Linked DNA regions of Lonchura striata. The protein of the gene in region 1 purifies or fractionates together with the protein of each later gene. This does not show direct contact. Links are inferred from orthologs where the notes say so. Each region holds a gene or a part of one and is shown in the gene's direction. Other genes may lie near its edges.

What was found.
Region 2: the proteins of SLX4 (region 1) and TOPBP1 purify together in Homo sapiens (affinity purification with mass spectrometry; 3 studies listed by BioGRID, with this or other methods). This does not show direct contact. The link is inferred for Lonchura striata from reciprocal best matches to the Homo sapiens genes SLX4 and TOPBP1.
Region 3: the proteins of SLX4 (region 1) and SLX4IP purify together in Homo sapiens (affinity purification with mass spectrometry; 6 studies listed by BioGRID and IntAct, with this or other methods). This does not show direct contact. The link is inferred for Lonchura striata from reciprocal best matches to the Homo sapiens genes SLX4 and SLX4IP.
Region 4: the proteins of SLX4 (region 1) and PGAM5 purify together in Homo sapiens (affinity purification with mass spectrometry; 4 studies listed by BioGRID and IntAct, with this or other methods). This does not show direct contact. The link is inferred for Lonchura striata from reciprocal best matches to the Homo sapiens genes SLX4 and PGAM5.

Annotation. Positions count from the first base shown.
Region 1 is NC_134618.1:4,009,738-4,016,617, forward strand, and holds the start of SLX4 (structure-specific endonuclease subunit SLX4), read left to right. Parts: upstream 1-3,870; 5' UTR 3,871-3,919; coding exon 3,920-4,286; intron 4,287-5,108; coding exon 5,109-5,348; intron 5,349-6,100; coding exon 6,101-6,275; intron 6,276-6,880. UniProt on the Homo sapiens protein: Regulatory subunit that interacts with and increases the activity of different structure-specific endonucleases.
Region 2 is NC_134603.1:113,164,825-113,172,810, forward strand, and holds the start of TOPBP1 (DNA topoisomerase 2-binding protein 1), read left to right. Parts: upstream 1-4,977; 5' UTR 4,978-5,247; coding exon 5,248-5,328; intron 5,329-5,863; coding exon 5,864-5,998; intron 5,999-6,529; coding exon 6,530-6,673; intron 6,674-7,180; coding exon 7,181-7,362; intron 7,363-7,483; coding exon 7,484-7,677; intron 7,678-7,986. Other genes in the region: C-C chemokine receptor type 5-like, read left to right, coding at 1-717. UniProt on the Homo sapiens protein: Scaffold protein that acts as a key protein-protein adapter in DNA replication and DNA repair. Composed of multiple BRCT domains, which specifically recognize and bind phosphorylated proteins, bringing proteins together into functional combinations.
Region 3 is NC_134605.1:23,369,230-23,376,669, reverse strand, and holds the start of SLX4IP (protein SLX4IP), read left to right. Parts: upstream 1-4,424; 5' UTR 4,425-4,518; intron 4,519-4,634; exon of another isoform or gene 4,635-4,958; intron 4,959-5,761; 5' UTR 5,762-5,896; intron 5,897-7,440. Other genes in the region: molecular chaperone MKKS, read right to left, coding at 321-1,311; uncharacterized protein LOC144246044, read right to left, coding at 1,536-1,685; uncharacterized protein LOC144246043, read right to left, coding at 3,283-3,474.
Region 4 is NC_134620.1:8,397,268-8,404,814, forward strand, and holds the start of PGAM5 (serine/threonine-protein phosphatase PGAM5, mitochondrial), read left to right. Parts: upstream 1-4,536; 5' UTR 4,537-4,549; coding exon 4,550-4,806; intron 4,807-7,547. UniProt on the Homo sapiens protein: Mitochondrial serine/threonine phosphatase that dephosphorylates various substrates and thus plays a role in different biological processes including cellular senescence or mitophagy. Modulates cellular senescence by regulating mitochondrial dynamics.

The DNA of each region.
Region 1 (6,880 bases):
TATGAACAGGGTGCTGGCAGGGGGAGGTGTAGCCCTGAACAGAAATGTGAGGACTGATGGGACATCAGATATGGAAGTGGGTGGTGCCAGATGGACACTGATGCTGATCCCTGCTAAGATTGCTCCTTGGAATCTCAGTATGATTTTCCTACCTAGCATTCCCTTGTTTATAGAGATTTGAATTAATTTCTCATTTCCTATTTTCCTCATCTGGTTTTGTTACCCTTTTCTGGCACAGGGAAGCTGGCATAGACCAGGACAAGAGAGTCGTACCTACTTTGGATTTGTGTTTTGCACTTACATTTGTTCTCACAGAACAAGCCTTGTTGTCCTCAGTGTTAAATTTTTTGTGCTTTTGCAACCACAGAGACCCTGCACTGTACAGATGTAGTGTCATGTCTTTATAAAGTAGTGATAAAGGTGTTGGTTAGTGCAGAGATCAGGCTCTAATGAAGAATCCATAAAAGGCTGGAGGATAATGTGCTTTTTCAGAAGTCACACCATTGACATGTAGGTTCTTCTCCATCAGGAACCAGTAGGGAGATTTTTTGTTACAAGATTTGGTTTGGAGGAATCCCTAGAGACCTCCTTCCAGTGTAGCTGCCAGGAAAAACACTACAGAAGTTCTTCCCTTTCGCAGTATTTGGTCTGACTTGACTGGAAATTTTATCACTAACCCTCAGATCTTTGGCTGCAGCTTCCACAAAAGGAGGAGAAGGTGATGAAACTTCCAGTGCCAAGCCAAGTGGTGCATCCCATCATCCTGCTGCTGCCAGCACTCTGTAATTAGTAGCCCAGGGTCATCCAGGTCCTGGCAATTAGTTGATTCCTGAAGCCTGAGGTGAAGCTGGAGGGAGGGGTGGGGTACAAAGGTGGCTTCCTTTGCACTCACTCCAGCAGCTCCATGTCCTTCCTGTGCTGGGGACCCCAGATAATAATTCAGGTTTTGTTGTTGCCTTGCTTTCTAATGTTAATTAATCCCATTTCCCTTAGCATTTCCTGTGGAATACAAGAGATTGCTTCGAAGGTGTTTTCCTGGTTTTGGAAGTATAAAGTGAATTTTTCTTTCAAGATGAGGAATTGAGGAGGAGATGTCCTGAAGCACCACTGTGGTGCTCAGGAGGGGAGAAGGTATCTGCTGTGTGCAACTTGTGGAGGCCTGCTAGCACTGATGGGCTGTTGTAGCCACGGTGATGACATATTCTTGGAGGCTGAAATGGCAGGAGAATTGTTCCTGGAGCAGACAGAGTGTAAAGCAGCAAGTGAGCAGGCCCAAATGTTGTGTGTTTGAGAGCATGTAAGTCAGATAGCTGGTGGAAAAATGTTTTCAGGGGTTAAAAGAGAGGCTGCTCTGAAAAGTGGGAGAGCAACAGCTGTTTTAGCTGTTTGGGGTTTTTTAAGGGATTTATTATTTAACTAAGTAATTACAAGGCAGTAAATTGAAGGCACGTAGTAGGTACATACTTTTAAATCATAGAATTACGGGATAATCTGAGTTGGAAGGGACTTTAAAGATCATCCAGTTCCTGCTCTGGACAGGAGCACCTTCCACTATTCCACGTTGCTCCAAGCCCTGTCCAGCCTGGCCTGGAACACTTCTAGGGATGGGGTAACCTATGCCAGGGCCTCAGCACCCTCACAGGGAAGATTTTCTTCCCCATATTCCATATAATCCTACTCCCTGGCAGTGGGAAGCCATTGCCCCTTGTCCTGTCACTCCAGGCCCTTGTCCAAACTCCCTCTCCATCTTTTTTTGTAGGCTCCCATCAGGTACCTATTGAAAGGGTGCAAAGGATCATCGAGAGCAGTAATTTCAAAATACATTAAATCCATCCTTTTCCCTCCATTTTCTAGGTTCTGTCTTTCATTCTTACTGGTCCTGCTTTGTACCATTTTGCTGATCCATGTTTACTTGAAGGGCACAGCTGGGCTGTAGATTTGGCATCTCAGTGAGCAGGTAAGTGCTGCTGATTATTTTGTGATTTGTTGAGTCCTAAAATCTTCCAAAATTAATTGAACATTATAGTGAAAGAAATTACTTTCAAAACTGTTACTTTTTGAGCTCAATAAACTGGTGCCAAAGCTGGTTGTTAGGGGCAGCAGTAGCAGCAGCTTCAGAAATATTGAGATGTTGAACAGAGCAGGAATCTGTAAATGCAGGTCTGGAAAGGGAGGAGTAATACAGATAAAGTCTTAGTTTTGCATCATAGGTGTTTCTGATCTGATCTGCCTGGGACACTGAATATTGATAGCCAAATATGCTGCTCTGTTTCAAAGTTTAATATCAGGAACTCACCATAAATAATCTGGCAGTACAGATGTGTCTGAGGTATTTAAAGCGGTGTAGGATGTGAGATTTGGGACTTCTTGACATGCTGTCTCCTCCTTAGAAGAAAATGGTCAATTTACAGTTGTAACTACCCCAGAGTTCTGTCCAGAAGAAGTAAATTTATGAACCAGCTACATGAAACTTTTGTTTCCCTCTAACAGAAAATTACTCCAAGATTCACAGCAAAATCCTCTGCAGGTCTGGGAGCCTGAGTTTAAAATAAATAAATCCATTAGCGTCTGTAATTGCTTATAGAAAAGGCTGATCCATGGAAGTGTGTAACCAGCATTCCTCAGCCTCTCATGTCTGCAGCCAAGCCATTTGAGAAAACAGTCCCCCATGTGTTTTTCCTGCTTTTTGAGTCTTTCTCTGCCCAGAGCTTTACCGGAGTAACTGGACCACAGCTGCTGCCATTCCAAGTGAAACATTCTGGTTTAGGTTTGAAAGAAGTAGGTTTTGGGAGCAATAAAAACTCCTGGTAAAATAGCCAGAACCATCATGAACTCAGGACTACGAAGAAGGGGACAATGAAAACATGTGTAAGAATAGAGCTCTAGTCTTAATGTTGCCTGGGAGTTGATGGCATTTCCATCTGGACACTGTACCCAGTGCTGTTCCAGGTAATCCCTGTCTAATACATATGTGACAGCAGTTTGGGAAACAGAATCAGTGCTGTGGTTTATTGAGTACTCAGGGGAAGAATTGAGCAGGAGCAGGAGAGCTAATCCTGAGTGAGCAATAGTGGAAGTAAGAGGAGAGAAAAGGTGAACATATTTAATGGAATTGTTCTCTGACTTGTCCTAAAACCCCTTCTGAAGTACCAGAAACTCCATTTATTTACTTTTCCAAATGAGGCTGGGATCTCTTCTGTGAAACTGTAGTGTCTCAAAGCAGAGTTTAATACTCCAGAATCACTGCATGAGCTGAAGGATGGAGTTTTTTCCTGCTGCATTCACTGATTTTGTGCTATATAAATATAAGTAGGAATGTGTATAACAGAAGGACTGTCTGAATCCAGAGCTCTAAGAAAAAACCTAACCATATCAGATACGTGTTTTAATATCTCTCCTCTCCTTTGCTAATGTGGCTTGGGCATGTCTGTAGTACAATTATAGGGACACTGTTTGGGGTCAATATGTGCTGTTTCTAATCTTAGTATTTCATGCAAATCCTCTTCTCCTTCAGCAGTTTACACCTTGTCCCATAGTGCATCTGCCTGTACCATCTTGTGTGACTACCTGCCTTTGTTTCTTTGTTTAAGGGCTTTCATAAGTTTATTTCTGAAGCTCTGTAGCTTACCATGATGATCCTACGTGTGCTCTCACAAACTGAGGTGCCTAACCTGTGGTCCAGAGTCTTCTGAAGAACCAGCTTGTGAAAGCAGACGAGGTTCTTGGAGAGAAAGCATGCTCTACTGAATGTGAATTAAGCGTGGAAGAATGAACTACTGGAAGTGCCCACTCTGTCTGATGATCTTATTGGAGTCTGGAGAATGGACATCTCTGAGGTGCTGGAAGGGCTGATACAAATCTGAACTGATTCTGGTGCTTCCCCCTGCCCTCCAGTCCTCACAGTGTTACTGGAAAGCCAATGGATGAACAGGACAATGATTTTAAAGAGTTGTGGGCAAATATTTTGAGTAGGGCAAAGAAAAAGGCTGGGGATGCTGGGGCAACAAAGAGGGTTCAGAACAGGCCAAAGAGCACCACAACACAAAACAGATTAAGAAGAGGCAAAGCTGCTGCTAAGAGCCAAACCCATCATCACTTACCAGCAGTGAAGGAGACAAATTTACTTCAAAATTTGGGTCCAGAGGAGCAAGCATTGGTGCACGAAGAAGATGGTGATGCTGCAGCCTGTAGTGGTGAGACTGCAGAGGGGAATGGAGCAAGAAGCCCTCTCCCTGCCAGCCAGCCAAGCACAGGGACCACTGAGTGTAGCCAGAGGCCTCTGACAGGTAAGTGACCTGAAACAGTTCACACAGGAGATAGACAAGGACTGGAAGGACTCTGTATCTCAGTGAAGGTTTTGAGAAGTCCACCCAGAGGGGACACAGTAGCACTGTTGAAAGCAGGCTTATGCCTTACATGGGTTTAACCTGGGAGTGTGTTCTGTGCTGCAGGCAGATGTCCTTCAGTAAGGTGAAGCCTTGGTACAAAGTGATTTGCTGGCCAGTCATTATACACTGTTTTTTGCAGTGTCAGAACTGAGAAAAGTACTCTCAGATCATCTAGAAGCAAGCTCAGAGCATATTGTGGTGCTTTTTCACTCAATGCTTCAATGTATGGTGACATATTGTTTTCAATGTATGGTGACTGGATGTTTTCAAGGGCAAAAACATGAATGAGTTAAGAAGGGTGTTGGATTAATTAGTAAAGGATTAGTTCTTCATTAGCTGTTAAACATGATGGCCAGAATGCAGTCACCAATGATGGAAGTCCTTAAACTGATAAAATAGGTCAGTCAGGAATAGGACATTCTGTAGTGGGAATGCTGGGAGAGCAGGGCTGTGGGACTGCCTTCCATGTCCCTGCTGGAGACCTTCCTGCAAGGGCTTTCTTTATATTACTGCCTATAAAAGGGATACAGAAGTCTCTAAATGCCCCTGTAGCACAGAACCCCAGTGTTGTTACTGTGGCTACACAAATTGTTCCCTTCTCCAAGAATGGCTGTTGTAGAACTGAGCCTGGCCCAGGCTGCTCTCAGGGAGGGGCCTTCCAGCTGCTCTCAGTGTGTGTTTAAAACTGCCTGGTAAAACTGGTGTTTTCTTCCCCTCTAGTAAATCCAGAAAGCGGCTGTTCCCAGACTACCCTGCCCTTCCTTCCTGCTACTCCTCCAGGAACCTGCTCCTCACCCACCCCCAAGGTGCGGGTGGCAGAGCTGGTGGTGGAGAGAATGCAGCAGTTCAAGAGGGTGGCACCTGAACAGCTGAAACACAGCTCGGATGGGAGCATGCCAAAGGCTGCAGCCAGCAGGGATTTCCCTGCCAGGAGCCAGGAGCAGAACCCTCCTGAGGATGGTACGTGTCTCCTCTTGGCTCTGGTGTTTGCAGAATGAGTGGCTGGTGAGAATGGTTGCCTGAGGAGCAGTCCTGGATCCCAGGGCTTTGTTCCTGGCTAGCCTAGTGGCTTGCTGTGCAAATCACTCCAGATCCCTGAGAAAACTTCATTAAAGGATTATCCATACCTTTTTCCCAGCTCTTCTCTAAGGCTGAATTAATCTCATGTAAATTCTAGAGGAATAATTGTCTCTTTGGAAACAGACTGAAATTCTAACAGGACCGGTGAACTTGGTCATCCTTCCCTTGGGACAGTGTTAAGCAGCTCTTAGGTAGCCCCATCTTTGGTACCTCTCCAGGCACTATCTAAGGTGATACGTTCTGTGTTGATAAACTGAAATCACAGCAAATTTACTCTGGTTGATTCTTTATAGATCAAGTCCCTGTTGGTTCTGTATGGGCATGAAAGTCTGCTGTGTTGTACATTTGATGTATAAAATTCCATAATTTCCCCAGAAACTTCAGCCAAAACTGTCCCTTCATTGTGTCTGACATGTGATGTGCTGTGAGCAAATTGTCACCTCTTGCTCCTGTTGGAAAAGAGCAGGTTGTACCTTTCCTGGTGGAGATCAGGTGTGTAGATGCAAGAGGAAGATTGCAATGAATTTTTGTGTGTCTAATTTAAAAAGCTAATAATGACTAGTGTACCAGTTTCTCACCTTCCACACAGGATTTAGTTTTCCATTTTACATCATCCCTGCCTTCTTTGCCAGATACCCACCATCCCCCATCCGTGGAACACGACAGTGCTCTGGCTTTGGCTCTTCAGCAGGAATCCAAGGAGGAAGCCCTGGCAAGCCTGGAGGATGCAGGCTTGTTCTTCTGTCAGATCTGCCAGAAGGATCTCACAGCCATGAACACCCTGCGGCGAGAGCAGCATGTCAACAGGTCAAACACCAGCAGGACCTATCCTTTCCATCCAGCCCCACAGACTCCTCACTCAGCCCAGCCATGGAAGAACAGGAGCAGGGATTCTGCAAAGGGGTCTTTGCCTTTGTGGCTTGAATTAGCGAGTCAGTTTGGTGTGAAAGCAGAGGCTGATTGCCTTGCCCTGCAGGATTTCTGCATTGGTGTGGCCAGGCCAAATCTGCTTTCATTAGCAGGTTGGCAGAGAAGCTGCCATTGTAAAGGAACTTGGTGGTCTTAAAGCTCTTTTCCAACCTTAATGATTTCCTTAGTGATGACTCCCTAATGCCAGTTTTGAGATCTACTGATTTCAGCCAACAAAGTTGTTTGCTCTGTTTTGCTAAAATTCATCTAAGGACATCTGGTATGTCACTGTATCTGAGCTGTTTGCTGAGGGAAATGTGATGTTACTCAGAGAGATGACTCATTTGAAATTACTGCCCTTCATTGAACAATTTCCTAAGTGATAAAAATCAAACACAATTTATTATGGACAGACAACTCTCTGGAAATCGAATCTGTGCTTTTCTGTTGACAAAGGATCAGAAACAACACATTTGAATGATTGTAAATTCTTAGTTCAAGCA
Region 2 (7,986 bases), on another chromosome or scaffold:
AGTGGCATCTTTTTCATAATCCTGCTGACCCTGGACAGGTACCTGGCCATAGTGCATGCGGTGTTTGCTTTGAAAGCCAGGACAGTCACCTATGGTGTCCTCACCAGTGTTGTCACTTGGGCTCTTGCTGTTCTTATTTCTGTTCCTGGGGTAGTATTTCACAAAACTCAGAAGGAAAGTTCAGGCTATTCTTGCAGTGCTCATTATCCATCAGAGCAGAGAAATACATGGAAGCAATTCCTCACCTTAAATATGAACATCCTGGGACTACTTATTCCAATGTTAATCATGATCTGCAGCTACACACAAATTATAAAGACGTTGCTGCAATGTAGGAATGAGAAGAAACATAAAGCAGTCAGGCTTATTTTCATCATCATGATTATCTACTTTTTTTTCTGGGCACCATACAACATTTGCATTCTCTTGCGTGATTTTCAAGGTGCATTTTCCATCTCTACTTGTGAAGGAAATGGTCAACTGCATAAAGCGATACAAGTGACAGAAACAATCTCAATGATCCATTGTTGTATCAACCCTGTAATTTATGCCTTCGCTGGAGAAAAATTTAGGAAATATCTTCGCAGCTTTTTCCGAAAGCAGATTGCAGCCCACTTGTCTAAATGCTGTCCTGTTCTCTATGCTGACACAGCTGAACGAGCAAGTTCCACCTACACCCAATCTACTGGAGAACAAGAAGTTTCTGCTGCATTATAAGTTGTGTAAAGTAAAAAAATTGGATTGACTCTTGTGAGATCAACTCTTTGATGAAAGCCTGCTGAATCTCTTTTGGATATTGTCTCTAAGGCAGCTGAAAAAAAAAATCACAGAACACATACTTACCAAAATTTGCATTTACTCACAGACTTGGGTATTTTAAAATACATGAAAAGAAGGTAGAAAATTACCTGACTGGGGTCCTGAGCTAGCAGGCTAACAGATTTTTTGAAGTGAACTAGAGGTTTTAAAGTTACACTGGTTACTTAGAAACATCTCTTGACTTTGTACATTACACAAGATACCTCACTCATTTAAACTTAGTCTCAGACATATTTTTTACTGGTCTGGTTGTGTATCTCTATAAATAATGCTAAGTTACTAAGGTCCATCATACAGCATGAAATGGAAAATTTTATATACTTAGAATGGACTCTGATATTTTATGGTATATTTTCTTTTGTGTATGGTTGAGTCCTAACCACTTAGATCTTTCTCACAATAGTTCTAAATGCTAGGGGCTAATACCTAGTGATTTTTGAGTTTGATACATCTGAAGAGTCTCTTTTACTCATCTGCTTTTTTATATGCTTCTCATGCTAAAAATATAATATTACTGAGCTATCATTTAAAAACTAATGTCCTATAGCTGATCAGAAAATAAGTGTGGTAACAGTATTTTAAAAATAAAGTATTTCACATGGAGCTTTAACCAGGTTGGATCAAATGTGAAGAATGACTCAAGACTGTTTTAGTTCTTTAGTGCAGTGATTTTGCTTGCCTTTTTTGTAATCTGCACAAGAGAAAGACTTTAAAAAAAAAAATGAATGCAGGCATAATGGCTATCAAACCACAGCAGTGGTGAAACAGATGTGAAAATTATTTCTGAACTGGATTGACACAGATATTTTTAGAGACAAGTGTATGTTATAAACATTTAAGTTAACAAAACATCTGAATAAGTAAAAATACTCCCTGTTCTACAGAGTCAAGGGCACAGACCATTTATCTTTTGTTTTAGAAACTGGTATCATTTGGGGGGCTATGACAATGGGGGGTTTTTTTGCCATTTAGGAGTCTTACAGAGAGCAAAATTCCATAATTAGTAAGACTGGTGGTTAAATACGACTGATTCTCCATAAAGCTCAGAACCTGTAAAACATCAGAACACATAGAAAACACGAAATAAATACTGGGCTACTCAGGTGCTTAAGAATGTACCACAAGCAGAGTATTAATTAATTTGGACCAATTTTTACTTCTAACAGTTATTATACTTCCCCTAAGACATATGGTATTGGACAGCTTTGGAGACAGCAAATTAAAAGTGACTATTTTGTTTGCTGTTACTATCCAAAAGGGGAATTTCTGTTTCCCAGCTTCTCTAGACAGCCTTTTAAATAATATTTTCAAAGAAGCAAATGTTTCAAGAAGTCTCAAAGAAATTTTACAGTGGAAAGTGCTTGTGAAAGCAGGAAGTACAATAGGGAAATCTTTACTTATCAAACCACTTGTTCTGTGTTATTTATTTTGTCATATTAAGCACCTCTTTGGAACTACATCCACATGGAAAGTGTAACAGAAGAATACCACTCCTCATTTTCAGCTGCATACTCTTCTTTAAGGCTCTGTGCATCAATTACTTTCTGGACGTTGTACATGCTTTTAAAATGTGTAAATATATCAGTGTAATGACAAATACACACCTTCTAGTCAGGCTTTTTTGTTTTTTTTTTTACTTACAGAATACATTTATAGAAAAATTTTATATTTTATTCTGCTCTTGATAAGAACTTTCGCTTGGTCTTGAAAACACTTTGCAGTTAGGAAACTACTTTCTCTGGAGGGCTTTGATGCCAGACACAGTAATGCCTCTTTGTCAACCTTTCAGGAGCAAAGCACAACAACCAAACGTGCATGGGCACACTGATAAGCTTTCTGAGAGGCATGTAAAAACTGCCCTGATTCTCCTACAACATGGACTTCTAATAATGGATTTTTCTAAGCAACAAGCAGCTTCTGGAGGAAAGAGGTGGAACTGAGGTTGATGGCCCAGTGGTTTGGCAGCTTATCAAGAGTTTCCACCACTTCACTGGAAAGGGATCACACTTCAGCACATGAAAACAAGTCATATTTCAGTGACAGCAATGAACCGTGATCCACATTCAAGCAGAAAATTGAAAACTCAGTATTTGGTTGCACTGCTGATACATTCAGTTAAGGACTCTGCCAATAACTGTAACAATAGTTTGTATTATACGATCCATTAAAGTTGGTTAACATTTTGTTAGACTTCTTGATCTTTTCCCACCTCCATCCCCTTATTTTTTACAACAGCCCAGAAGAATGAAAAAGGAAAATAAATTCCTCTTCGTAACACTGAAAGAACAGGCAGGACAAAATTGGGGTTTTACAAGTGGACCAAGAACCAGCATAATCAAATAACACAGCATCATCAAGATAAATCCACTTATAATTTAATAATAAATACGCTATTTTGGTTGTCATGACATTTGATTTTGTTTACATTTACCAATGGGAAAAGCAGTATCTCAGGCCATTCATACTGATCCTAGATGATTTATATTAGTGGTTTTAAAAATAAATAAGCGTATAAAGGAATTCCAGTGTATTTAGTGACCTAAGTATTAGGTCATCTAGATAAAATCTAACAATTGCAGCGGACTTGTGCACAGTTCTTCAGTTCTTAAGATCACAGTGCCACCCTGTGGTCTCACTGTAGAGTTTGATGCCAGCAAACATGCACTACTCCAGGCAGGCTTTTGGTGCTTTTCTCGTTCAAAACATATTCTAGGATGAATTTCTTCACACAAAGGGTGATTAGGCATTGGAATGGGCTTTCCAATGGGTGGTGTCACTGTCTTTGGAGGTGTTTAAGGAGAGACTGTATGTAGCTCTTGGTGTGGTACCACATCTGCCATCTGGTTGACAGGATGGTGTTGGGTCATGGAATGGACGCGATGATCTCAGAGGTCTTTTCTAACCTAATTAATAGTGTGATCTCTTTCCCTAAGAAAATCTCCTAATGGAATGACTCCCCCACTAGAGGCATTATCAGTATTACGCAAACAGCAGCAAGGCACTGTGGTCACTAAGAGTGGAATGAAGATCCATCGGATGTGTAGGCAGGGTCCCCCTGTCATCATGTAGGCAGATGCCAAGAATGTGGTTCCGGATTCCAGACCTTGCTCTGGAAGGAGAGCATTTGATGTTCTTGCCCACAGCTTGGACGCTACAACCTACAAGAATGAAAGTGAAGTGCAAGGTCCTACACCTGGGTCAGGGCAATGCCAGACACAGCTCCAGGTTGTGTGTAGAAGCGATGGAATGCAGCCCTGTGGAGAACAACCTGGGGGTGATGGTTGATGAAAAATGCAACTCACGCCACTCTTCTCCGGCCACAATTACCATTTCCCAACTATTTTTTGGTTTTCTCTCTTCTTAAATATATTACTATAGATACGTTATCGCCATTTCTAATTGGCCCAATCCACCTTTGGATCGTCCAGGGCTTGGCTCTGCTGGACATGGAGGAAGCTTCCAGAGGCTGCTCAAAGCAGCCACCCCGGCTACCCTGGTTTTTAACCAGGCTGTGCAAACCCAATGCAGAGCATCTGAAGGGGGCCTGCAGGGAAGCCAGAGGGGGACTCACAGTCAGGAACTGCCCTGATAGGAATAAGGAGTAATGTATATATAGGGCAAAAATTGAATAATATGGGGCACAAATTGAAAGAAGGGACAGACATTTAGGTCAGATATCAGGAAGAATTTTTTTCCTGTGACAGTGGTGAGGAGCGGGTTGCCCAAGAAGGTTGTAGATGCCCCATCCCTGGTAGTGGTCAATGCCAGGATAGGGTATAGCGTATTCAGCGGGGGCCATGCAGGGGAGGCTGGGGCCAGACGCCCGCTCAGCACCCTCCCAAGGCGTTATCCCTCGGTGATTCCCTAAGTTCCGCTCCCGTCTCCCCCAGCGGCCCCGCGCGCCCTCAGCGAGCCGCCCGCCCCGCCCGCTCCCCACGCGCGCGCCCAGCGCCCCCTGCGGGCGGAGCGCGGGCACGCCCCGCCCACATCCGCCCAGGCCCCGCCCCCTCTGCCCGCCCCGGCAGCGCTAGCGAATCAAAAACCCCGGCCCCGCCCCGCGCCTGCGCAGTGCCGGCAGCGCCGCTTTCCCGCGCGGGTGAGGGGCCGGGCCGGGTCCGTCGGGGCTGGGAGCGCCGCGCACCGGGAGCGCCGCGCACCCGCTGCCCGGCAGGGACCCGTCCGTGCGGGCCTTGGCCCTGTGGGGAACGGGCCTCCCGGTGGGGAACGGGCTTCCCGGTGGGGAGGGGGCTTCTCGGTTGGGGTCGGCCAGTCCCCGCCCCTCCGTGCGCGTTTGAAGCCGGTGCCGCCGAGGCCGGGCGGCGTGTGCTGGGCCCCTGGCCCGGCGCGGACAGCGCCAGGGGCGAGAGGGCTTCCGGGCTGCGGCGGGAATGTCAGCGCGCTCACTGGGTTTTGCTTCGTAGTTGAAGGATGAGAAGTAGTAAGGACCCGTTTTTTGTGAAGTTCATAAAGTCTGCCGGGAGCTCGGAGTATTTTTCTAAAGCTCTTGAGGTAAGTGGGTTTGGTGACCTGGGTGAACTTGGTGAACTGGAGTGTGATTTCTGTGTCGGAGTTCGGCTGTATATGCCATACAATAAACTAACTTACGTCTGTACTCCTGGAAATAAATCTCTTTCTATAGCAGGGGTGTTAGTGTGTAGTAAAGCTTGTTGAACAAGAACAGTTTTGTTGGAGAGCCTCATGAAGTAGCTTCAGTTTCAAAACCTGGTGACATATAGGGAAGGGACATGTAAGGCCTGGATGGTGGTCGCTCATCTGAGCACTCTGCATTGTTTTACACCTTAGGAGGTTAGTGGGAGCCAAAGGCACCATATGGCAGGATCAGGTCCTGAAGGCTTCTTTGCGAAATATTTAAGTTAGAATATTGTGAAGAGGTGTTTTAGCCCTTCTGCCAATACCTGTTTGCATAGTAGCTTTGTTGTGAGCTGTTGCAAGGACGTGCACTTGTGTAGTTTGCACAGGATTGCTTCTTTATTAATTATTTGCTAATTAAATAAATGTTGTTGTACACATCATTTACCTGCAGGCTATAAAAGAATTCCAGTCAGAAGAACATCTCCAGATCCTTGAAGAAGAAACAGTACTCAATATAAAAGAAAATGATAAGTCACTTTACATTTGTGATCCTTTCAGTGGCATGGGTTTCAGTCATCTCAAAAAGGTATGGCATCCAGCAACTTACTTTGAGCTCTGTTCTTTCCTTTTTAGAAGCACTCATGTCCATATTTATATCCTGCATGTTCTCTTCTGCACTGCGTGTAGCAGTGTATGATTATTATTTATTATTAATCATTATGCAAAGCATAATGATTATTTTTAAACATTTGGAAAAGTAAATGGCATGTTCTCTGCTGGAGTCCCTGAGCTCCTGATAAAGTTGATTTGGTTTCATCTGCAAGGTATTGTCTAATGGACACAGGCTAGCTGGAGTCCTTTGGCCTTAGCCATAGCATCAGCTGTTTTTACTGAGTCAGAAAATCTACAAGGATTGTACAGAAAAACCAGAACTGAAAGTAAAACCAGAACTGAAAGTAAAACCAGAACTGTCAGCTACCTGGAGGTTGTAGAGAAGAAGGCGGAGGACAGACCAAGAGCCCTGCCTTCTTCAGAATTCAGGGACAAGAAAAGCCTTCCTGATGCAAATGAACACCCTGCTTATTTTCTTTGTGCTTTCCCTGTTATTTTATTGCAGCTTGGCTGTAGGATTGTTGGACCACAGGTAGTTCTGTACTGCATGCAGTCGCAGCGCTGTGTCCCAAGAGCTGAGTATCCCGTGTACAACATGACCATGGCTGATGTCACAGTGTCCTGTACCAGCCTGGAGAAGGACGTGAGGGTAAGGCCTTCCCAAGGATGGATTGTTTAGCTGGTTATCATTGATACTTGCTTTGCATTGTTCATTAGTAAGGCAGCAGTCAGAGCATATATGTCTCATTGTGCCTGTGTCTAGATCCATCAAGTCTTCTGTACCTTGTGGACTATGTGTGGTCTATTAATGTATTAATACACCTCAAATATGATTATATATGTTTACTTTATATTTATTCTGATATTTTTTTCTAGTACTTCCTGAAATGGTAACCATCTGCAAAGTTTTGCTCATAGACCACAATTGTCATGTTTTTATTTAGGGTATATATTTAGGGTATATATTATGTTCATCATAAGTGCAAATAAAATGGAAATTACAGTTTCCTTTTTATGGCTTCCATATATATCTAGTTGGTATTTTTAGGGGAAATCGTGGACAATTGAAATCCATGTTTTTGGTGCAAAGTGAACATGACTGCCACATAGGTTCTTTTTTCTCCTGTCTGTTTTCTCTGTTTTTTTCCCCATCCAGGAAGAAGTTCATAAATATGTGCAAATGATGGGTGGATGTGTATACAGAGATCTCAACATGTCAGTAACTCATCTTATAGCTGGAGAAGTTGGCAGCAAGAAATACTTGGTAGCTGCTTCCCTGAAGAAACCTATTTTGCTTCCCTCTTGGGTTAAGACATTGTGGGATAAATCTCAGCAAGGGTATGAAAAAAACAAAACTGATTTTGTTTTGGATAATGGTAATTCTTATGTACAGACTAATTTCTTTTTCATAGTTGATTTTACTTGCAAAATGACTGTTTTCTCTCATTCATTCCTGTAGCATGGTGAGGTACACTGATGTTAACGTGGAAGACTACGTCTGTCCTGTGTTCCTTGGCTGCACAATTTGTGTCACTGGCTTAAGCAGCTCCGACAGGAAAGAAGTGCAGCGCCTCACTACTGAGCATGGTGGGCAGTACACGGGCCAGCTGAAGATGAATGAATGCACTCACCTCATAGTTCAAGAGCCAAAAGGTAAAACTGACAGAATTAATGCTGTTTTCACGTCTGGAGTTGAAGTAGTGTGAAGGTGTGTAAGCACAGGAGCTTGAACTGCCTCTGTGTCTGCTTCAGTGTTGCTCTTACTGCTTCTCTGTTGATGGAAAGAGTAACACAGGGCACCTTTGTTTTGGTGTAAAGTCATGAGAAAGAACAAAAGAGGAAAAAAAGCCAGATAGATAGATGGCATTCAAAGAAAGGAAAAGGGAGAATCCTAGAGGGGATAAAGAAAATAATTTTTTTGGGGAGAGCAGGATAGGACTTAATTTGTACTGTGATTGAAAT
Region 3 (7,440 bases), on another chromosome or scaffold:
TTTTAACTGCAAGACTTTGTGGCAAATTGAAATTAAAAAAATAATTTTTTCATTTGTCTTGAATCAGTTTGAAAATAAACGAATTGGATATCCCTCATGCAGCAAGCAGTAATAACACCTGTGGTATGCCACCATCAAGGCCTTTACAGAAGACCTATTCATCTTGAAAAGTTATTTTTAGACTAGAAAAGAGCAACTCTTGCTCAGTGGCTAAGGCAGAAGGAAAGAAGAGACCTCCCTCTGCAATGACACCACCCCAGGTGACGCTCTCCTAATGACAACTCCAGGACAATGGTTTAGGCAGAAAACTAGCCTGTTACCTGTCACACGCCTCAGGGGCTCCATCAGAGACAGCCCTGCCCTGTCCACAGCCACGACACCATTCTCTTTCAGGTACTGCTTCAAGGAGGGATGCATCACCTTCTGGCACAGCACAAGGCCCACCTCATCCTTAACCAGCTGCTGCCCCACATTGAGCAGCTGATTCAGCTCTGACGCTTCCAGAGAAACTCCGTGATGGACTGCTATAGTTCCTTCCTCAGGGTTAGAGCTGTCACCTGACATGGACACACTGAAAAGTGCAATCTTGATCACGTTTGAACCAGTCCTTTTGACAGCAAGTGGTTTTCCCAATTGGATTTCTGGCGTTTCTATCAGCAGTCCAGGAAGAACTGCAGAATCCACAACTCTTCTACCTTTCACAGGTATTACCACACACTTGCCTAAAACTGCATTAGTCTCAACATGACACGGAACAGTAAATATAAAAGCCTTTAAAACCAGCGAGGTGAGATGATCAACTTCAGTTTTATTAAGCATGCAAGCAGGTTTGCTTGTTAAAATGCTCCGTACCAAACAAACAAGAGTCTCAAGACTGCTAAAATCCACAGACACCCGGCAACCACAGGCCTCAGATTTCAGGTGGTTCATGCACAGACTCAGAAGATGCTTGCTTATTTGAATGACAGTAAAAGGTGCAACATTCAGGCTCCTGAAATTTTCAATGAAGCCACAGCAAAGAATGGCAGTGAATAAGCCACAGTCACTGAAACGTGACATGTGGTTCAATACAGAGGCTGTCAGGACACGCAGCACGGGCTGGCTGATGGAAAGGTGCCCCAGGAGGGCTGAGGATTGGGAAGTGGCACAAACACAGCCCCCCGCACCATTGTGGAGCTGTTTGAGTCGACCAGCAGGACCGTAGGAAGATTTTAATACCCCACTCAGCAGAGACAGTGACTGACTCACTGCATCTCTAGTTAACGGCTTGCTAGTAAATAACGGAGGCTTTTTAGCTTCAAGGCGAGACATTTTGAAGGTAAGACTTTAATTCTAGCCAAAAAAACATTTCATTTTTGCTTGGATCCATAATTCATTGTACTTTCATATTTTAAGAGTAGTACATTTTAATTCTTTGCAGGTAAGGATTATTTTCGGTGTGAAACAGTATATATAACATTCCTGAAACTACTCATCACAGCTCTCTTAAAACGAGGCTTAAATCATGCAAAATGGATAAACAGCAGGGCGCTATTTCATTCCAGACGATTTTTTCTAGCTTCTGAATGAGACTGGGCAGACTTTTTCGCAACATAGTTTACAAGTATGCTTCCTATATGGACACCTATAAGTGACAGTCCTGCCACAAGCAGAAAGTTCTTTCTACTCCAGGTAGTTTTCTTCATCTTTTCTGGCAACAGTCACAGATGAAAACCTTCAAGCTTAGTTATACCTACAATAAAAACCAGAAAGATATTAGAATAATCTTATGAAAATATTGTATAACTTGACCTATTTTAGTTTTCACCAAAAAAAGTCACAGAAGGACAAATACTGCACCAAAAACCATTTAGGTTGGAAAAGACCTTTGAAGTCGAGTCCTGCTGTTACCCCAGCACTGCCAAGCCACCTTTGAACCATGTCCCCACATGCCACATCTATGCATCCATTAGGTGACTCAGCCACCTCCCTGGGCAGCCTGAACCAGTGTTTGACAACCCTTCCTGTGAAGACAGTTTTCCTAATACCCAATCTAAACCTCCCCTGGTGCAACCTGAGGCTGTTTCCTCTTGTCCTAAGCACTTGCTACTCGGAAGAAGAGACCAACCCCCACCTTCCAGGTGGTTGTAGAAAACACCACATTGCCCTGACCCTTCTTTTCCTCAGGCTGAAGACCCCCAGCTCCCTCAGCACTCCTCACAGGACCACTGCCCTCTCGGGACTCATTCACACCTCAGTGTCCTCTCTGAAGGCTGGAGTCCCTCAGCAGTGCCAAGCACAGGGGACAATCACTGCCAGCACACGCTGGCTCATGTTCAGCTGCTGTCACCACAGCATTCCCAGGAACCTCTCCAGCCACTCTTGCCTGTAACTCGGCATGGGGCTGTGACCCCAGCGCAGGACACAGCATTGTCCTGGGCTGGGGTCAGGGCTTTGTTGAACCTCCACTGGCCTATGCACTCTCATTTTTAACTGAGAAAATCTACTAATATGATTTTACTACAAACACAGAGAGCGCACCAATTATACCTGTCTATTAATAACTTCAATTCTGACCTCTGGTCTGTACTGTTATCAGCAGGTCTGTAAGTAGCAGGCTACCATCAACTTCATTGAATTGCACTGAAGTACCAAAACTACAGTGATAGTCACCTGATTTTACTCAAGAACAAAAGAACTCAACTAGTCAGCAGTACTTGCCAGGCAACAGAAACAACAGCTTTTGATGTTCAAACAAGGTTTCTTATTTCAAGAGGCCCGCAAAGAAAGTTTTTCAGTTCTTATAACAGTAAAACTTAAATCAACGCTTATTTACATTTCTATGCAAACTCTACAGTATTTACACTCGTACTTCCTTTTGTTTCATTCTCTGTTGTAATCACTATCCCTACTCAGTCATAATATGTTACTTTGTACAGTCAGAATTATTTCTGGGCAGTTTTAAACCTGAAAGGACACTGTTATAAATCCAGTCACATGAGTTTCATTGCCGTCCTGAAGTTACTGGAGCTTGTTTTAAAATATCTTTAAGACACATAATACCCTCACTTAACTGAGCTCATCGTGTGGGATTTAGCAGTAGTTTTTGAAATTTATGATGCACTTTTTGGGTCCATGTAGGTACAAAAAATTAACTCAGTTGCAAAGTAGAATAAAGCTCTGAAAGACTAAAGTTAGAATACCAAGGCTGTATGTTTAAAAATTCTCAATTAATTCATCCTCTGCCTCATAAACACAGACACAACTAATTAGGCAACTTACCCAAAAATCAAAGTACTAATGCTATTTTTCTTTGCTTTTGCGAATGCTTTGCATCATGAATGTCAGAATGTCACGTTCTGGAGAAAAATCCTCTGTCTTCACTTCGAAAATAGGACTGGACTTCAAGTAATACCAGCCCCAGTGCACTAGCCCCAGGCTAGCTCCCATAACAATCAGAACTTTGTTGTCCTTCCAGAAGGTTTTAAGACTCATTGCAAACTGGCATCTACCTAGGTAAAGATAATTTATTATTTTAAACATATTCTAGAAATATTTTTTCCTTACTCTGTAATAACAACAATGAATACATGAAGCTGAATGTTAATACCTTTAATTGCAGTGCAGCAGATGACTAAAACACTAAACAAAAAGCCTTACTTTGTGAACAAAAACGCACCTCAATTCAGACATTTTGAAATGTTAATTGCTGCATTGTCTTCGAGCTTTGGCATGCTAAATCTTAAACACAACAAAGCTTTATCTAATTATCTAATTACAAGCACTAGTGCCCAGATGGTAAGCATCTGAAGCCCAAAAGCAGGTTCAAAATACACCTTCCTCCCCATAGTTAATAAAATTCAATGAGTAGCTGAGCTCCCAAGGTAATACAGAACTTTGAAATTGCAGGCAAAGCAAGGTGTGCAGCTCCTGAAACCACTTTACCTTTGTTCAGCTTTGCCTGACCACCTTATAGTATTCAGAAGCGGCACCATTACAAAGGGAGCAATTAACTAATCCTCGTATAATAAGAAGGTGGAAAAAAAAACCCAACATACTTTCCATGGGATTTCGCACGTATACTCATGTTTTATACCAAAATACCTCACTGGTTTGAGCGGCCACAAAGCTGTAACTCGGAGAGGAGATGCTCCCACCCCCGCCCAACCCCATGACCCTGACAGGTGTAACCCGGCCGACCACCCACCCCTCCCGCACCCCGGAGCCCTCCCAGCCCCCTGCTCCTCCTTCCCCGCGGCACAGCGACCTTGAAGCGCGGGCGGCTGAAGGCACAGCGGCGCGAAGAAGGTGCCACCGAGGAGGCGAGCACTCACCCGCCCACCCCCACACGTTCAAACACGCCCCGGCAGGAAGCAGAAGCACGCAAGAAGCACGGCCCCGGACATGCCGCGCCGCCCCTCGCCGCCCGCCATTAGCCGAGCGCAGCGTCACTCGCGACCCGGCCCGCCTCAGCCGCTGGCGGCCATTTTGCGTGCGGGCACGCGGGGCGGGCGGCGGCGCCGGGCGCGGCCATTTTGGGTAGGGCAGAGGAGCGGCGGGAGGCGGGCGCGGCGGGGGGAGGGTATGGCCGCCTTGTGCCGCCCGGCGCTTGCGGCCGCGCCTGGGCTCCGGCCCCGCCTGGGCTCCGGCCCCGCTGTTCTCTTCGGGTGAACCTCTGAGGGGATGCTCGCAGGGCCAGGGCTCTGGCGGCGGTGCCGCTCGGCTCCCACCGAGCCTCCCTCAGCCGCTCTTTCCCGTTCCTCAGCCCCGCCCAGCCTGGCCGGGCATAAAAACGTGTATATATCTGATTTTTCTTCTTTGCATGCCCGCTACTGTGGCCACTCCGCCTTACACCTGCGTCCAGCTGTCTGAGGCTTCCTGTGGGCGGGCGAAAGTGCCCCGGCCAAAACAAGTTCAAATAACTTTGTTCCCTAACCTCCGGTTTCCGTTAGCTCTTTTGCTTTCCTGTATTCACTCCTGTAAGTACAATAAATACTCCTGTGAATACAGTTATACTTCTGTGTTCACTCTTCTCTCTACTTCTGTAGTCACTGTCTAGAATATCTCATTTTATATTCATTTGTTAATGAATGGGTTTGTTTTCAATTTCGTTTATAGTTGCAGAGTTTATGACTGTAGCCAAAAGACAAGTATTTAATGCCTCATCCCCATGCAGAAATGAATATAATTTCTAAAATAGTATAGTAATTTTTCCTTGCAAATTGCAATCAGCTGTTCCACAAAAGTTTAAAAATATAATAGTACCTGTTTGTGGCCCTGTGATACTCCTAAGAACCTCTCCTCCCTCTAGTTCTAGGCAGTTCTGTGATGACTGGGTCACGTTTTGGAAACTGAATTGTTGAGCCTTAAAGGTGAATTGGCAGTTTATGAATGAAGGAGTGTAAATAACAATGAGGAGAAAAGGTGCTGACTGGGATGGAAGAGTATTTTTCAAGGATTAAGTGGAGTAATTGGCAGCAGTGGGCATAGAAATCCTGAATGGCAGATAGGAAGATCGTGGTGTATAGAAATACTGAATGGCAGATGGGAAGATCGTGGTGTATCTTTCCGGAACTGGGGATGCTTTACTGGCTGTGTGAGTAGCTGAGCATTGCACTGCTCATCCCAAGCTTAGGATCTGCTCCCAGAAACTGACAAGTGCTGGACGGGAAAGTTCAGAAAAGTCTTTTATGTTGTGATAGTTAATTTTGTGTACAAAAATACTTAATATCAATTTACCCTACAGAGTTCTTTAATTAGTGTTTGTTTCTGCCGCTTTCAGGTGCCCCCTCTCCCCACTCGGAGATGGGCAGTGGGTGAAGCTTGCTGCTGTACATCCAAGTGTGTGCCAGGAGTTTTCAGTTCCTCCTCCCTCTGAGCTCTGCATTTCCTCACCACAGGAAGCTGCTTTGCCAAGGTAAGATCCTTTTCATCAGCTGGCAGAGGACACTTGAGCTTGCTCTCTGGATGACCATGTGCTCTGGCTTCTCCTGAGTACCCACCGCTCCATTTGACTCAAATTTAGGGGAGAAAGTTATTCTGCCATGTTATTTTTAATGTGCATCTCACTCTAGCTACAGGCAATCTATGTGTTTGATTCTAAATCATGTCTTCATGCACAGGTAGTATCAAAATTTTATGTCTTGGAATACTACACATCCTGTATCAGGACTTTTTTAGTATAAATATATATATAGTCTTGCGAGGAGCTTTTCTGCCATATTTGCTTATCTTCATGTGTCCTTGTGTGGTGTTTACTTTAGAGGTTTGCAACAGAAAAAGGATTCCATGAGACAGAATCTTGCTGTCAAACAGCAGCAGTTGTAACAGATCTGTGGTTTTGGTGTTTGGTGTTTTATTAAACACAGGAAGTGGCAAAGCATTTTGGGACTAGTTGTTTTTGGTTTGTTTTTTCTTTCCTTGAAAAATCGGTGAGTGGTTTTCCTTATCTTCTGATGTCTTAGTATTGAGTATTTTTTCACCTGGGCCACTTCAGTGATTACCCTGATGGTTCACAAATAAAATATTTTCCTTTTTTATTCTGTGGATTTTCTTACATTTTGTCTGTCTGCTGTATTTCCTTTGTCTTATCTGTGTGGTCAGTGCAAAGAATTGGGGTAGTTGGCAAACTCCCAAAGTTGGCTTACACCCAGGAAGAGCAAACTGAACCAAAGCTAACTTCTCTTGTGTGTCCTTTTCCTTTTTATGTTTTTCTTCTGTTATTTTGTAAATTGGGTTTGGAGGGGATTTTTGCATGCCAGCAGTTTTCACGTGAGTAGTAGCAGACGTGTTGCAACAGTATTATTCTGGAAATTAAACTGGTAGCAGAAGAAAGCAGTGATGTCAGGGTAAGTTCAGCAGAGCTTTCTACATGACTGAACTGAACTAGGATGTCTCAAGTGGTCCAGAGCTCTGTCCTTTGCATTGTGTTTCTCAAAATTGCTATCAGTAAAGTTGTCAGGATTTAATGAGATAAAATGGAGACATTTCCAGGGCTGTTTGGTGCAAGGGAGAATGATAGCGAGATGGCACAAGGCATGATGGCATTCCAGCTTCTGTGTGCAGGACTGTTAAGAATTTTAAGATTAAAATCATCGTGCTACACTGTGTAGTTTTAAAGGCTGTTTGTTTATCTTGTTTTGCACTTTTTTGAGTTAAATAATGATAACAATTGCATTGTGAAACGTGGAAGCATAGTGTGTGACAGAAACAAGTATCCCCAGCCTGACTGGTGTCCCGAAACATCGACAGCTCTATCGCAGTACTTACCTGTGACTTGAAATACAAAATGAGAAATATATACACATTCCTCAATTTTTAATATTTGCACTCAGGATCCCAAATGAAGTGATTTAGGTCCTGTTTTGGATAAGCAAGGGAGGAGGATGTCCAAAGTTCACTTTACTTTTGTGCAACCACCATAAGATTTGGGTTATGGTGCTTTATGTGTATAGTATAAAA
Region 4 (7,547 bases), on another chromosome or scaffold:
TCCTTACTAAAGGAGTAGGGAAAAGGATCCAGTCCCAGCAAACAAGAGCAGTTCCTTATAGGTGTATTTCAGATACTTCAGTTTACCAGTGATGCCCACTGTTACTAAAAAAAATTCTTTCAATCTACTTCAGTTAGAAAGATGGTGACTGTGAGAGCAAAATTAAGAAATAGATTAATCATTCATGATATAAAGACTTTGTATGCTTTAGATAAGGCGAAGCCTGCTTTTGAATATGCTTCTAGAGAGTGTGCCTGGGGAGGAGGAGGAGTCTTTCATCTTAAATGCGCTTCTCTTTTTTTTTTCTGGTCAAAGGAAATCTGAAAAATCCTCTAGTAGATGATTCACACCATCTAGATTAAATTCAAGATCTGAATCACTGCTATAATATATATATATGTAGAGTTTCTTTCATGCCACAATCTCCCAAAATGTTGTGCTGTATTTAACCAACACAGTATTTGTCCTGGTTACCCTTCAGTGATGCAGTCAGACACAGTCAGGAAGCCAGGGTCTGCTTCAAAATCTTATTTTTTTTTTTTTTTTAACTAATCAAATCATATTAACCAAAGTTGCTTAAAACTAGTATTCTCTCTTGCTTCATAAAAAAAAAATAATATTAAATGGGCTTAAGTAGCATCATTTTATAACCCAAATGTTTAATGTATCATTTAAATGTTGCAGGATCTGAAGCAGGCCAGGATGACATCAATATTTCCTTTAAGAAGGCCAGCAGTAAGTCCACAGTGTATGTCTGAACACATGTGGTTCAAATGATATAGTGTTAGCTTTTTTCCTCTCTCTCTCTGTTCTTTCGAGAATAAATTTACACTTTTTTGTTTTGTTTTTGTTTAATAGTGGGAAGGTGATACATGGTGAGTAAAAATTTTTGAGGTCATGGAAGAGGCTTTTCAAAACCACATTTTCCTTGTTTCAAATGTCCTTTTATTACTCTGTTTTGCTTAAAAAAAAAAAAAAAAAAAAAAAAAAAAAAAAGCCTGAAAGTTCATAAACTTTGCTTGCCAGTTGTAGGCTAGAGACCTGCCCTTGCTCTCCCTGTAGCTAACGCTAAAACATCCAAACACTGACTCATCCCTGTGCTGATCCAAGTCCCATACAGAGATGAGCTGTTTGTCTTCCTGGTGAAGTTAACCCCGAGGGCTGCTGTGGGTCTGCTTTAGCCACAGGGATTTTCTGCCTGCCAGGGGAAACCATTTGTTGGGCCCAACCTGTGCTGAACTTTCTGAAACCTTTTGCTGGTTTTCTGACTTCTCTTCTCTTTGTTCTGGTCACAGCACAGTTCAGAGGCTGCCCTAACCTTGGGCATCCTCCTTGAAGGTATCTGTGCATCAAACCACAGAAATGGGATAAGCCCCTGGGAATCATCCCTGAAGATTGGACCTATGGCATCAGTAGAAAAAGCATTTACTGTTTTCACTAACAGAATAATTCCATTAGTGGGCATCAGTAGGTTGTTATCCTCTTAGATGGATTTTCTGCTTACAAATGAAATACAACACAATAAAACTGGATTAAAAGAGCAGCAATATAAATACATATAAAAAGAACAAAGAGCAAGAAGCTGGGTAGATATTGTTGAACACAGGACTGTATATTCAAGCTAGTGGTAATCTTCAACAAATTATTTTTGAGATTTTTTTTTTTACCTAATTGAATTGCAAGTTTTAAAAAGTGGTAAATATAATCTAATTAATAACATTTTTGGACATACTGAGGAAAATCTAAGGTAATCTCAAAAGACTTTTGAACATCAATTGCCTAAGTGTATTAGTGCCTAACCCAAGCAAAAATAAACTGCAGAATGGAGCACAGGCACAGGAGATTCCTGATGGTGAAGTGTTAATGCAGACTAATGACAGCCAAAATGCAGCATTGAGGCAAACAATATTATCAATTTTCATTTTCTAGCATAATGAGATTGCCCAGATGTTCAGCAATACTTTTTTGTGCTGGGGAAACAATTTTGACTGTTGCTTAATAACAGTCTGAAATTTTTCTGGTGGTGAGAGAGAGAGCTCAGCCCTGGTGCATTTGGTGACACTGTCATGCACTCCAGAAACTTGCCTGTGTTTATTACTGGGATTCTGACCTCAAATGGCAGGTACTTGTGTGAGCAATGCACTTCGAATAGCACTGAAATTTCAAATGGAACCATATGATTTTAGAATTCAGTTCAAGCTACTGAGAGATTCACCAGAAATAGTTTTATTTGTCCAATCCAGCTTCAACCTGTCCCTGTCCCCAAGTGAGTGATGGTGTCTGGTGCAGTTTTTTCCTTCATTTGTGAGATGCTGGAGGTCAAATGGGATTCAGTTAGAGGGCAGGCAGGAGAGGAAGAGGTAGGACACAAGTGGGAGCATTTAATGGAGAATAAGTATTACGAGGGATAAAAGAGAACAGGCATTATGAGAGAAAAGATTTTGAAAGCATTTGCAGGACTTTGGGAGACTGAGACCTGGGGAAAAGGGACCATGCTACTTTAGGAGGAATTGGATGTGAGGTTTTGAAACAGAACTTTTTTCCTCTGGACTCTTGGTAAGAAAGAACATACACAATATAAATACCCACACCTGCCTATATAATAAGATAAACTGAAGAAAAAAATTAACATTTTAAAGCTATATAAGAAGAAACAGAAAGCCGAGTATCTTAAATACAGAGAATGAGCAGGCAAGAAGGATAAAGGAGGGTGTGTAGCAGATTTTCATCAGGGTCTGATTTACTTATGTGACCCCTGGGAGCCACTGTCGGCCTGTGAAATGTCCCAGAGGCAAAGGACCTGTGCTCCAGTCAGATGTGCCTCCTCTGCATCATCTGTGTGTGAGACAGAGACACGGAGTGGTGGGCAGGGGAAAGACACTCGGCTGGGAAAGCTGGAAGGTTGCTTCACTTTAACAGAAAGACCATTTTCTTTGGGCAGGCACAGCGTCCTTGTACCCCTGCTGTGAGTGCTGCAGGAGCCTGAGCCTGTTAACTCAGCAGGGGACAGGCTCTGGTCTCAGTGGCTCCGGGTCACTCACACTGGTTGAAATCCGGCAGCTGGAAACTGTCTGCCCAGCTGGCATGCCAGTGGAATAGCAGGAATAGTATTACAGAATTTGTGGAATATGGGTGTGGAGTTAGAGCTTGAACAGGTGGACAGATGTTGTAAGAATGCATAATTAAATTAACAAAAGCTGGATAGTGGAATCTGTAGAATCTTCTGGCATCCCAAGGTCCACATTCAGCAGCAGTTCTATCACCATTTGCAAACTACTGAATCTGACAGGTAGAGACCAGTGCTGAATTTGGGATGTCAGCTCAGAAAAAGAGGGCTCTTTTCTGAGTCTCTCTCCATGAGGCCTCTGTTGTGAGCTTAAGACAGCACCATCGGCCATCTACAGGTAATTAACATTCCAGTGTGAGGTAATTAACATTTCAGTTCCACCGTGTCTTTCTTGTGCACAAGGCAATGTGTGGAGCTGTAATGAGCTCTGGCTTCTGGAGGGAGCCTCTGTGTGAAGAGCGAGTAGCGTTCAGGCCAGAGGCACAAGAGGTGGGATGGGAATGCCCAGGTGGGTGCTGCCAGCTCAGCTCTGCTGAATCCACCTGGTTTGTAAATTGGTAACCACTTTTATTAACCAAAACTCAGGTTCCTGGTTTCCAGTGCCATAGACCCAGTGATGCCTGTAAGAAATCTATTCCAGTATGACAGAATCACAGAATGATTGGGCTTGGAAGGGACCTCTGGAGATCATCTGGTCCAACTCCCCAGCCAAAGCAGGGTCACCAAGAACAGGTGACACAGAAGGCATTCAGGTGGGTTTGCGATGTCCCCACAGAAGGAGACCCCACAACCTCCCTGGGCAGCTGTCCCAGTGCTCTGCCACCCTCAACATAAAGCTCTTCCTCATGTTGAGGTGAAACTTCTTGTGTTCCAGTTTAAGGCCATTGATCCTTATCCCATCACTGGGCACTAGTGAGAAAGAGTTTTCTCTTCAGACTAAACAGGCCCAGCTCCCATATCTGCCCTCTTAAGAGACGCTGCAGGCCCCTCATCATCCTTGTGGCCTCTGCTGGACCCTCTCCAGTGACTCCTGGTCTGTTGTGCTGAGGAGCAGCTGGACAAGTGATAAGGCTCGGGGCTTGTAATTAAATGTGGCGGACTCGGCAGTGCCGGGTTAGTGGCTGGACTCAACGTGCGGGTCTTTTTCGCCCTGAAGGACTGACCGCCGCCTCAGGCGATTAAAGCAGGCAGGGCTGGCGGGGAATCCCTGCCCAGCCCCACCCGGTGACCGGCCTGGGGTGGGAACCGGTTTGGGAGCGGCCAGGCAGGACCAGAGGCGGGCGCGGCACCGCGGCCGGGGGAGAGGGGCCGGGACGGGCCTGTGAAGGTCTCTGAGGGTCCGTGAGGGCCGGGGGGTCGGGCCGGGGGTCCCCGCAGCCCCGCGCTCCCCGTTCGGGAGGAAGCTTGCCCCGCGCCGCGCTCCGTCCGGGGCGGGGCGCGGCGGGGCGGGCTCGCCGCTGAGGGGCCCGCGGCCGCCCCGCCATGTCGGCCCGCCGCGCCCTGGCGCTCGCCGCCTGCGGGCTGGCGGGCGGCTCCGTCCTGCTCTCCGCCGTCGTCGTGGGCAAGCAGCCGGCCCGAGGGGGTGGCGACAGCGAGCCGCGCCCGGGGGGCTCCGCCGCGCCCTCCGCCGCGCCGCCCGGCTTGCTGCTGCTGCCGCCCACCGCCTCCTGCCCGCCGGCCGCCGGCTGGATCGAGAGAGCCGCCGGCAGCGGCAGCTACTGGGACAGCAACTGGGACAGGTGAGCGCGGGGGCCGGGGCCGCCTCCCCCGGGCAGGCCGCGGCTGTGCTGAGGGCCGGGGGCGATCCGGGCGGCGGCGGGACCTGCCCTGCTGAATCCCTCTGCGGAGCCCCTCGGGGGTCGGGAGCAGTCCCGGCTCGGCGGGACTCGTTTCCCGGTGAAATTCCGTGTGCTGCTCAGAGCAGAACGCAGCTGAAGTTCGCGAACACCCGTGGAGCGCCGGAGCGCTGTGGAGGGATGTGCCAGCGCTGGGATTTGTTCACTTAACCCTGTGCAGGTGCCTTTATTCTGCTGCTTTCCGCCAGCCACACTGCCAGCCTCAGGCTTGTGATAGATGCGAGCACCGTTTGGGTTTTCCCCGGCCGTGCCAGGTGTTTTTGTGTCTGCAGCGGGTGTCGGCTCGGCAGCAGTCCCGGGTGGGTGCCGGGCGCTCTGTGGGCAGCGCGGGGCCTGTGCTCGGGAAGCTCCTGCGCTCAAATCCTGGTACAGCCAGTGGCGTTTGAACCCAGCTCACTCGCGTTCTTCAGCGCTGAAACGCGTTCACACAGGGGTTGACTACATTTTCTCTGAATATTTAATTAGAATGTGCAGATATCCGCATGGAGCTTTGGCTCATTTAGCTTCGGTCTGGTAGAATTATCTCCCAGGGGAGACTTATGTCAGGCTCCAGTTTAATCATAGTAAATCCAAACCTAAGCACTAACAGATTTTATTGTATAATGCATTATTTTGATTTTTGAGAGGCTGCAGGATCAAATGCTCATGTAAATAGGGCTATGCACACCCCAGTGATAAAAATAATGCCTTCATTAAATAAAGTTACAACTGGTTACACAATTTTACTGAGGGAGGTACTAAAGCTGCTTGTTTAACTGCAGCTTCCTGATTCTGCTAAATAGTTGATCTTCTTCAAGGATTCTACGGTACTTTTAGACTCAAGTAATTTTTTTTAAACCAATCCAGGAAGTAGAGATTGTGCTTTAGGTTACAGAGCTGTCACCACTGCCTGAGCAAAAACAGCCAGATAATACTTCCTAGCAGTTCAGGATAGCAAATCACCATTCCTCACAGTGTGCAGACAGTGGCAGTGGAATATATTACCCCAAATCAATTTGTTTTCTGCTGCTTGCGGTCTACCAGTTGTGGCTTAGGTTGTGCCTGCTTGAAATCTTAATCTTGACTTTTGGATGTTATTGGCAGAAGCAGTTAATGTGCGAAGTTGTTAAATGGCTTATAAATACACAGAATATCTGACCACTTCTCTATGGGGGCAGGGAATGTTTAGAAAGTCAAGCCTTGAGCAGATAACTAGATACTAGAATATTCTTAACAACCAGTGGCTTTTCATGTTTGAAACAAACAAATGCAAATATCAAACTTCTTATTGGTCTGACAGGGTGTCACAGTTGGAATGTTGGTCTCTGCCACTTGCACAGGAATTGTGCAACTCAGTTCTCAGAGAGGACAGATCTAGTTTCATTCATGTGGAATATATAATGACAGACATCAGACGAGTTATTCCCCTTGCTGCTTTACTAATGTGCTTGAATTGATTTTAAAGATTTTTTTTGTTTTCCTATTGTATCTTGCCAGCAGAATAATTTCCAGTGAATCAAAAATATCCTGTGAAGGAGCAATAGAACTTATTGTTTCTGGCTTGTTGTTTCATTTTTAATGCCTTGCTGAGGAATTAACAGCTTGAGGAATGTGTAGATCCTCATTGTCTAATGGAAATCATGTGTTCAGTAAAGCAAAATGGAGGCAGGAAGGCTTTGCACAGCCAATCTTGCTGTGAGAAATAGATGTGAGAAGCAGCAATTTTCTGTGAACAAATTATTTTGTCCCAAACGGAATAAAAATTATTATCTATTAAAAAAAATCTATCATCAAATAAACAAGTTTAATACTGGAACAAGTGAGGTGCGGCATAAATAAAACACGCTCTGAGGTGGACTGACAGAAAATGATTTGTATAATGGGGTGGAGGATCAGTGCAGAGAGGGGCCCAGATTAACGTGGGGAAGGTTTGGGCAGGGTCGGTGCTGGAGGTGGGAGGTCTGTAGCACCAAACCTGTGATAGCAGAGAGAGGGGGAGATCCCCCTGTCCTCAGCAGGAACCAGGTCAGCTGTCTGGGTGATGTGCAGAGCAGGGTGCTCATGTGCACTGTGACAAGTGGAAGAGAGATTAAAGTGGCATGAGGGGAGAGAGTGCTGAAAAGATGAAAGGATAAATAAAACACTCCAGAGTGAAGAATAAAAAGTTTTACTGGAGAGAACTGATGTGACCTAGTTTAAAGCAGAAAATAATCCTCAATGTGCACTGCAAAAGGTTGGAGTCTTTCTAGGATGTTGTTGGGGGGTGATTTTTTAGTCATTTGATGTAAATGTGATTGATAAAGTGCAGATTTTGTAGGTGTTATTACAGGGCCTTTTAGATATGAAGCATTTTCTTTCTCTAATGATCAGTCAGCACCTTTTCCTTTTTTCCTGGGTGTCCTTCCTGGTTAGTTTTTCTTGTCAAAAACCATACTGTTGTACGCTGCAAGTTTTTCTGTTGCTCATTGCTTTTTTTTTTTTTTTCCAATAATTAATTCAGGTAGCTGGCACTAAGTGGCAAATTTACTTATGTCAAGTTACACCTTTTAACCCATGACATGATATTTTTTTTTCATGCAGGCATTTATTTTTACTTTTCACACAAAAGTTTGAATCAGCTTCATGTACAAATGGCTAAACTGCCA